2 linked regions of the Tribolium castaneum genome follow. The protein of the gene in region 2 binds, or shares a complex with, the protein of the main gene of each other region. Links are inferred from orthologs where the notes say so. Each region holds a gene or a part of one and is shown on either strand. Other genes may lie near its edges. The genes, in order: Mettl3 and nito.

What was found.
Region 1: nito (region 2) and Mettl3 share a complex: the UniProt entries of both Drosophila melanogaster proteins name them as parts of the WMM complex. The link is inferred for Tribolium castaneum from reciprocal best matches to the Drosophila melanogaster genes nito and Mettl3.

Annotation. Positions count from the first base shown.
Region 1 is NC_087396.1:23,067,419-23,071,340, reverse strand, and holds Mettl3 (N6-adenosine-methyltransferase catalytic subunit), read right to left. Parts: upstream 2,652-3,922; coding exon 2,070-2,651; intron 2,023-2,069; coding exon 1,575-2,022; intron 1,123-1,574; coding exon 530-1,122; 3' UTR 326-529; downstream 1-325. Other genes in the region: PHAF1 protein CG7083, read right to left, coding at 1-44, 211-274; protein bcn92, read left to right, coding at 2,775-2,851, 2,895-3,015, 3,065-3,133; Mat89Ba (nucleolar protein 6), read right to left, coding at 3,184-3,306, 3,351-3,922. UniProt on the Drosophila melanogaster protein: Catalytic component of the WMM complex, a complex that mediates N6-methyladenosine (m6A) methylation of mRNAs, a modification that plays a role in the efficiency of mRNA splicing and is required for sex determination.
Region 2 is NC_087396.1:24,540,345-24,544,266, reverse strand, and holds the start of nito (RNA-binding protein spenito), read right to left. Parts: upstream 2,628-3,922; 5' UTR 2,473-2,627; intron 2,422-2,472; 5' UTR 2,410-2,421; coding exon 277-2,409; coding exon of another isoform or gene 256-276; exon of another isoform or gene 106-255; coding exon 79-105; 3' UTR 1-78. Other genes in the region: uncharacterized protein LOC663498, read left to right, coding at 3,915-3,922. UniProt on the Drosophila melanogaster protein: RNA-binding protein that acts as an associated component of the WMM complex, a complex that mediates N6-methyladenosine (m6A) methylation of mRNAs. M6a modification plays a role in the efficiency of mRNA splicing and is required for sex determination.

The sequences.
Region 1 (3,922 bases), about 1.5 Mb from region 2:
CACTTGGGACTGAATAATTGCAATAGCCTGGGAAAAATGCATTCCTGAAAAGAGAAAATTCGAAATTACATTTTGAAGGTCGCCAACCAATTAGCGTTACGTAAAATGGGTCAAATTTCCATTCAGTGTTGGCCGTCACATCGCCCCATCGCAAAAACGATGTCAACCATGTTACGCGCAATAAAAATAATAGAGAAAAGGGAAACCCACCTACAATAAACTCCCACTGTTCACAGCCCAAAGAACGTTCAGGAACAACGTTGAGCGTCAGCATTTTCCGCAATCAATAAAAACCAGTCTTTAATCAACAATAATACACAACAAGCAACAAATCAAAACTGTTTATTCTTTTTCTCTTAAATCGAACGATCCTTTGTCTAAAAACTCGTAAAACTTCCAAGCGCCATCTTGTCAAACCTGACATCTGTCAAAATCAGCTGATGCCCCCCCAACTCCACGCGATTAAAGACACTAAACCACCAGTCAATAAGGCAAAAAGTCGCCACCACTCCACCAAAACATAAACAAATTAATGGGTCGTGTCACCGGGGGGCCCCATACAGTTCCCCGTGGGGTAGCGTTTCTTGAAATTCTCGATCAGTTCTGCGTCGACCAGCTTGATCCCGTCCACTTGGTTCCCCAAAGTGATCCAGTTGGGCTGGATGTTGTGGGGGCGCCCGAACAGCTCGATTTTGCGCGTCCCGGGCGAGAGTCGCTCGATCATTCCGTAGATTTCGTCCGGTTTGTGGCTCGTGGCGCGCACTTCGGCCACGATCACGTCCGAGTCTAGTCCCCGGTTGAGGTTCTGGGGGTTGCCCTTCATGCCCACGAGACAGTGCTCCTTGCCGTGGTTCAGCCAATGGCCGGTGCGCCCCGTCCTGATAATGCGCTGCAATTGGTTCGTCTTCACCCAGATTATTTCGTCAACGCGCTCGTAGCCCCACAATTGGAGGCACTCGCGGCCCAGCTCCATGGCACGGCCTGTCACCCACAGGAAAATCAGGCCCTCGTCTTGCAGCTGGGGGATCCCCAGCTGACGCATCTCGTCGTCGGACATGGTCCCATAGGGCAGCTCCATGTGGATGTCCCAGGGGGGGTCCGCCATTATCACGGCGAATTTTCCTAAATTCAACCATTAATATTTTCGGAAATGTCGGGGAAAAACAGTTATTTAAAAAAATCATCGTTCTCCGACAGTTTTCGAGATAATTGCAAAAAAAATAAAAAAAAATAAAATGAAAAAAATTCGTAACTTAAAAACTACTGGGTATTTGGCGATTTTCTCGTCACCAATCGATTCCCCGGATTATTTTACATTGATTTCCATCAAAATTGTTCCACTTTTTTGAATAGTTTTGCCATAATTGAGCTGAAAAATGAAGGTAGCCATTTCAAGAGGAATTTTTAATTCTACAACAAAAAAATTTATAACTCAAAAGCTAAAAGTCGTAGAGCAAAACGGTTTGTTCCAGTGAATTCTGGGCTCATTTGACGTATTATGGCAGCTTTTCACAAGATTTTAAATTTTGGAAGTCACGACCAAACGCAAATATTATTAAGACCGACAAACAAACCTAAGACAGTCATGTCGAGATAGCGCAGGTCGCACTGCACCCACTGCGGGGGGTACAAGGTAGTGCTTTCTTTTGGGGCCACTGAGACGGCGGTGGCGGCCGGGGCTACGCCCTCCGTTTGCCCACAGCGATCGACTTCATAGTGGACGTATTTACAAGTGTCCATGTGGAAACAAGTGTTAAGGAAGGAACAATCCCCTAAAGCTTCGTCAGTGTGTTTTTGTATGATTTTTTTAAAATGCAATTTTTTGCAGTCTGTGATTCCGTTTCGTTCGCAGTCGGCGCGAGTCCCATGGGGGCAAAACTCCATCAGTTGTTTGCCCCCTTGAGACCTGAAGCGCTCGGCCAGCGAACGCTCTTTGGCCGTTGGTTTACTCAACAGATCTAGAATTTCTTCGCCCAGTTTTTTACTCTCTTTTTCTTTCGTTGAGGGCATTGATAGTAAAGACTAGGGAAATTAATTAATTAAAAGGACAGAATCAATCAGTTAATTACCATGATGTCAGCTTTTGGTTCCTTCTTCTCTTTTTTCCTCTTCTCTTCGTCTTCGTTTTTCTCCGAGTCGTTTCGCTTCCGCTTCAGGGATTCCCTCACCCGTTCAGGCAAAAACTCCGCAATCATTGCGTTAACTTTAGTCACATCGATAAAAGTCACTTCGACCACGTTCTTCCCCTCTTTGACTAAATCCTTGATAGTGATCAACTTCTGAGTTGAGAATTTTTGCAACAAATTGCAAACTTCCTTATGTGAGGCATGTCGCTTCAAAGTCAATTTCAACGAATCGACCAATTCCGTCGAAGTTGTGGGGATCTGAAGAGTGACTTCGCTCAGCGCCTTCAACAACTCTTTCTCCAGCTCTGGGTCGATTTTCACCAAATCGATTTCACCCTCCTCTGGTCTTTTAACATCTTCGCCCCCAACACCACCCGCATGGGGGCTGTCGGACAGGTGCACAGGTGACGAGTTGAGACTCGAACCAAGGATGTCCTGCCGCTCCTTCTTGCGCTTTTCCAGGCGTTCGCGCAGGATGTTCCGCTTGCTTTTGATAGCTTGGATCTCTTCCCAAGCGTCCGACATTTCAAAAGACTATTTTCCGCCAAAAAAACACAACTAACACATGTTTGAGGTTACGGCTAACGCTAACTAACACAACCTCAACTCTTTGGTTATGTTCTTTCGGTTTCGTAAAATTGGGGCAAAATGAGTAAAAGACAGGCGTTGCAGTTGTATAAAGCTCTGATTCGCGAGTCGAAGAAGTTTCCGGCTTATAACTTCAGGTAAGGGCGTTTTTGCAAACGATTTTTTCATTGGGGGTTGTAGACACTATGCCTTAAGGAAGATAAGGGACAGTTTTCGGGAAAATAGACAATTGACTGACCAGGACGTGATTAGGCAAAAAATGGATGAAGGAGTTCGTAATTTAGATGTAATTAAAAGACAGGTATTCACAATTAATTCGTTTAGGGGTTAATTGACGTAATTATCTCCAGGTGGTCGTAAGTCAATTATATAGCACCGAAAAACTGGTTATTGAGCACGTGAGGGCCCAAAAAAACTAATTTGTAAGGTTTGTAATGGTTAGAAATAATAAGAGTAATTGTTTGATTTTTTATTTCTTCTTATCAATTGACTTGACTAAGCCTTTTCCCACAATATAAAAGTCTTCAATCAACGCATCCACGTTCAGCTCCAATTTTCCATTCACAAGTTTCCTCCCGCTTGCATAAGACACCTAAAAATAAATGTAATAAATCAAAAAACATCTAAAAATCTCACCTTGAAGTCTCGACTTTCCAAAGCTTTAGGTATCCACAAAACCCCGATAAAATTACCTCCGTACGTATCGTGGAAAAAATTGGCAAAATCGCCGTAATGTTTGCGCAGTTCGGCCAAATACAACTGAACTGGGTTAAAGCCAGTGACTGGAATTTTCGTGCTTTCGTTTCTGTTAAATTCCTCCAAAACAATTTGCCCCTCGGACTCGTCCCCAGTGACTTGTTCGTGTCGTACGGGGTTCAAAAGGGGGCGCAAGTGAATAATAACATCGTACCCCTCAAGATTCGGAATAAACAAGCTTTTAATTGAACCAAAACTCTCTCCTTTGATGATTTGCCCAAAACAATTCAAAGACTCACTTGCCAGTTGTTTGACCCTCCGCAAGACCAACTTCGAGGGCCCCCTTTTGGTAAAAACAGACTCACAGCCGTCGTACGGCATTGCGATAAATAAATCGGGCAAAGCCTCGCGATTTTGGAGGAGTTTCGAGTCGATTTCTGCAAGTGTCTCACTTGCAATCTCATTGTTGAAATTGACCACAACCGCCTGAATATCGCACTGAAGCTCGCTAA
Region 2 (3,922 bases):
ACAGAATATTTTCAAAGTTCACAAAACAAATTCAGTAAGCACTTAAATGATAAAGCATCATCATCATCATCAACACAATCAACATCGTTGTTGATCACCAATTTCCTGAAAAATGTACAATTTGTTTAAACTGTCAACAAAATTAGCCAGTGTAGACCTGGAGGGGGGTAAAAAAAATGAGCTCTACCTCATAAAATAAGTAAAAAAAAACAAAATAATAATACAGTATAGTCAACGACTATACAGTCATAAAAATTAAGCAGTACCACCACGTACCACAACAATAACCAAATGATCCTCCTTGATCGCCTCCTCCGACAGATTCGGACACGTACGTTTAAGCAACTCTGTCGAAAACGCACACGGCGGAAACGAATACAAAACCCCTGTCGCTTCCGTCTCCTTATTCAACAACGAAATAACCCCAGCTGCTTCCTTCTGCTTCAAATACGACACCAAATTCCTCAACGGCCTCGTCTGCACCGTACTATCATCATTCGTGACCGACGCCGTCGACCCCGCCAACCCCAAGAAAATCGCATGCGAACTCGCCCCCGAAATTCTCCTTTGCACATCCTCCAACTTTGGCTGATCCAACCTCAACCTTTGCGTAATCCTCAGCTGATGTTTTCCATCCTCGTCCTTCATCAACCCTTCCACAATATCCGTATCGCCATCAATCAAATGAAACTTGGCCGGAAACAGCGAATTCTTCAAAATCAAAGCACCTTGCCACACTGTCGTACACTTCCGTGCCACTTCGGGGAGAGTCCGACTAGATGCGAGCAACCCAGCTCTACGAGACCCATTATCCGAATCCGAATCAGGGGAACGTCTCGGTGACCTGGACCTGGAGCGGTCAACGGAACGGCGGCGTTCGTATTCGGGGCGTGAGCGCCCCCATTCATCTTCAGTTGTCTCGGGGTAGCGGTAAGGGCCCCGGCTGCCGGCGCGGCGTTCGGGGTAGGCAGCACGACCCCTGTACCCCCGGGTGGCGTAGTCGTCGTAGTCGTAATCGTAGTCAAGGCGGCGGTAATCGAGACTGTCTTCATGTCCAGGATAGGGGGGTTTAGGTCGGTAGACGACTCCCGGTGTCACGTCCGCAAAGTCAGTCCTGAGGCGACGGTCAGGCCCCCCAAGTGGGGCTCCTCTCATTTCCTTCACAGCCGCTTGTGCTGCATCGATACTGTCGTACAGAATATAGGCTTGATTGTCGCCCTTGACGTAATCGATTTTCTTGATAGCCCCAAAACGATCAAACTCACGTTCTAGTTGGGGGACTGAAGTCCAAGGGCCAAGCCCCCCAACCCAGATACGTGTAGTTGGGGTTGCTTTCCCGTAACCAATTTTACACTGGAACTTTCCGATGTATTGACCTGATAATTCGACTTTAGCACGGTGGGCCATATCAAGGGTGTGAAACCGAACGAAAGCAAAGGCATTGCCTGTGCCAGGTGGTGGTCTCTTGATATCTATATCTTCAACAACACCGTAACGACCGAAAATGCGACGCAACTCTTCTTCTGTGATATTAATTTCTAAATTACCGGCAAATAACGTACGAGTCGCTAACGGGTCATCTTCTGGTTGAATGTGGTGCAAATAATTCGGAAACTTGTCTTTTTTATTCTCTGTTTTTTCAAAGGGGGGCCTTGGGACCGTATGTCGTGGGGGGCCGTATCCATGACTTGGGGTTAAATGTGCCGGGTGATGAATCGGAGGCCTTGCCAAATACTCATGAGGAGCAGGTAAAGCCTCCCTGCGATAATCTCTATGTACTGGGACCCCTGGCGGGGGCCCGTAAGCCCTATCGTACCGATCAACCCTTAACCGTTCAGGTGACCTAGCATAATAATGCCGATCATACTCTGGTGTAATAGACCTGGGGCGACTCCTATAAATATCACTTGACCTGGGCACTTCATACACAGGTTCAACAATCGCAACTTTATCATAAATAATAATCCGGGGTTTCCCGTGTTTGGCATCACGTGCATCCTCCGGATTCCGGAAGCACACATAAGCTACGCGTTCATCAACATCATGCGATAGTCTAATGCTCAGATCGCCGTATTTTTTGTACTCTCGATAGAGCGTGTCTTTGATCACTTCATCGCTGGCTTTGGGGTGTAGGGCGCTGACGCAGAGCACTTTGTAAGGGTAGGCGCGTTCAGGGGGGCGCAGATATTCATCGCGATGCGGGCTGACATACCTGGGGCGGGGGCTGGGCGAGCGATTGCGGCTTCCACGACGGCGGACGCGTTCGGGGGTTAGGCGTTCGTCGGAGCTGTCGTCGTACCGGCCCATGCTTGAACGGGAGCGTTTGCTGCGTGGGGGCGTGTCGCGGTCGCTGCTGCGTTTCATGTTTTGGATGCGGACTGTTATTTTGTCTCGGCTGGAGGCGAGCATAAACACTAACGCCTGCAATGGAAACTTACAGCGGGGTGTGTGTGTGTGGGTGTGGGGGCTTACTTAGGGGCACAATAATGAGTTTTATCACCATTTACTGAGGTGGATGAGTGCTGCGTTGGGGCATCACAGAAATGGAAGCGAATGGTGGACAATATGGCGGATGTGACAAGGCAAAGTGGTGGTACGCAGGCGTGGGATGGAATTGGCGAAGTCCGGTCAAGTTGAAACGGTTTATTCAATGTGGCCAAGTTTCAATTTAAACGAATTGCTAGTTACAATAGTACTTACTACTAAATCTACGTTTCTGGTAGAAAATCTAAGTTTTATAATTTTATACATTATTATTTGAGAGTGTCGGACAGATGCCAAATGCAAGGCTGTATTATTGGTTATCTACATTGCAAAATTTAAATTATTGAGAACTCAGACATAACTCTTCCTGGCCTAATAAATTGTTCCGAATAAATTATATTATTATTTAAAAAAACATACAGACATAACTAAAACAAAAACTATTTTCTCATTAATGTATAATTTTATGCAACCTAATGAGACCAGCATTCGTCAAGACAAATAAATTTTAATTTAACTTAGTGCAGTCAAATTTTATTCACACCCCAAACTTATTTCAAGTATTCTTGTTCCGTGACTACTAAAAGTATCCAAATCTGAATGATTATATAAATACGGATTAAATTCAATTAAAATATTGACAAAAAATTCGTTGTTTAATTAGGATTATTTTCTAATGAATAAATTTGGAGGAATTGTAACATTCTTCAAAAAAAAATAGCTGCATCAGAGTGATGATTAATTAAAATTTACGATATTTGACTTGTCGGTAAAAATCCCACATTTATAAAAATACAGATAAATAAGACTGACTTTTTCAGCGCTTGAAGTAATTCCTACTTAAGCATTTTATTTTACCGCAGTAAGGTGTTATCCATAATAAATTTTGCATTTTGACTCGACTTTTGCAATAAATCAAATACCTGTAAGCCGTTCAATTATTTGGTTTATTTGGTCAAGAACAACAAGTAATTTTCAAGTTAATTTCCTATTTGTGCACGGATATTTACTGAAAAACTAGTGCACCTAAATCTAATTACCACAGAAAGAAAAAAAGTGGCTAATTTTTAATAAAACCTGTTCAAACAAATAAAATTATAAACAGAAATTTCATACAAACCATAAATGCGATTGTCTGAAATTATTTATATTTTGTATAAAATGTTTCAATTGCTGAATCAAGCATTAAATATAAAAATTAATGCGTCATGTCATATTTGCCATTTACACACCCGTTTATTGCATTTAGATGTGTGTAAAAGAAGATTTGATGAACAAGAAAATGAAACTGCAATAAAATTTCATTAAAAATATCAAGCATGAAATTGTTTTTAAAAGCGTCTTACGCTAGAGCTATAAAACTGTGCAATTATTGTTTTTTAATTATTTCGTATTTGATTTTTGCGGCATTTGATTGTGAGAGAGTTAAAATGAAGGG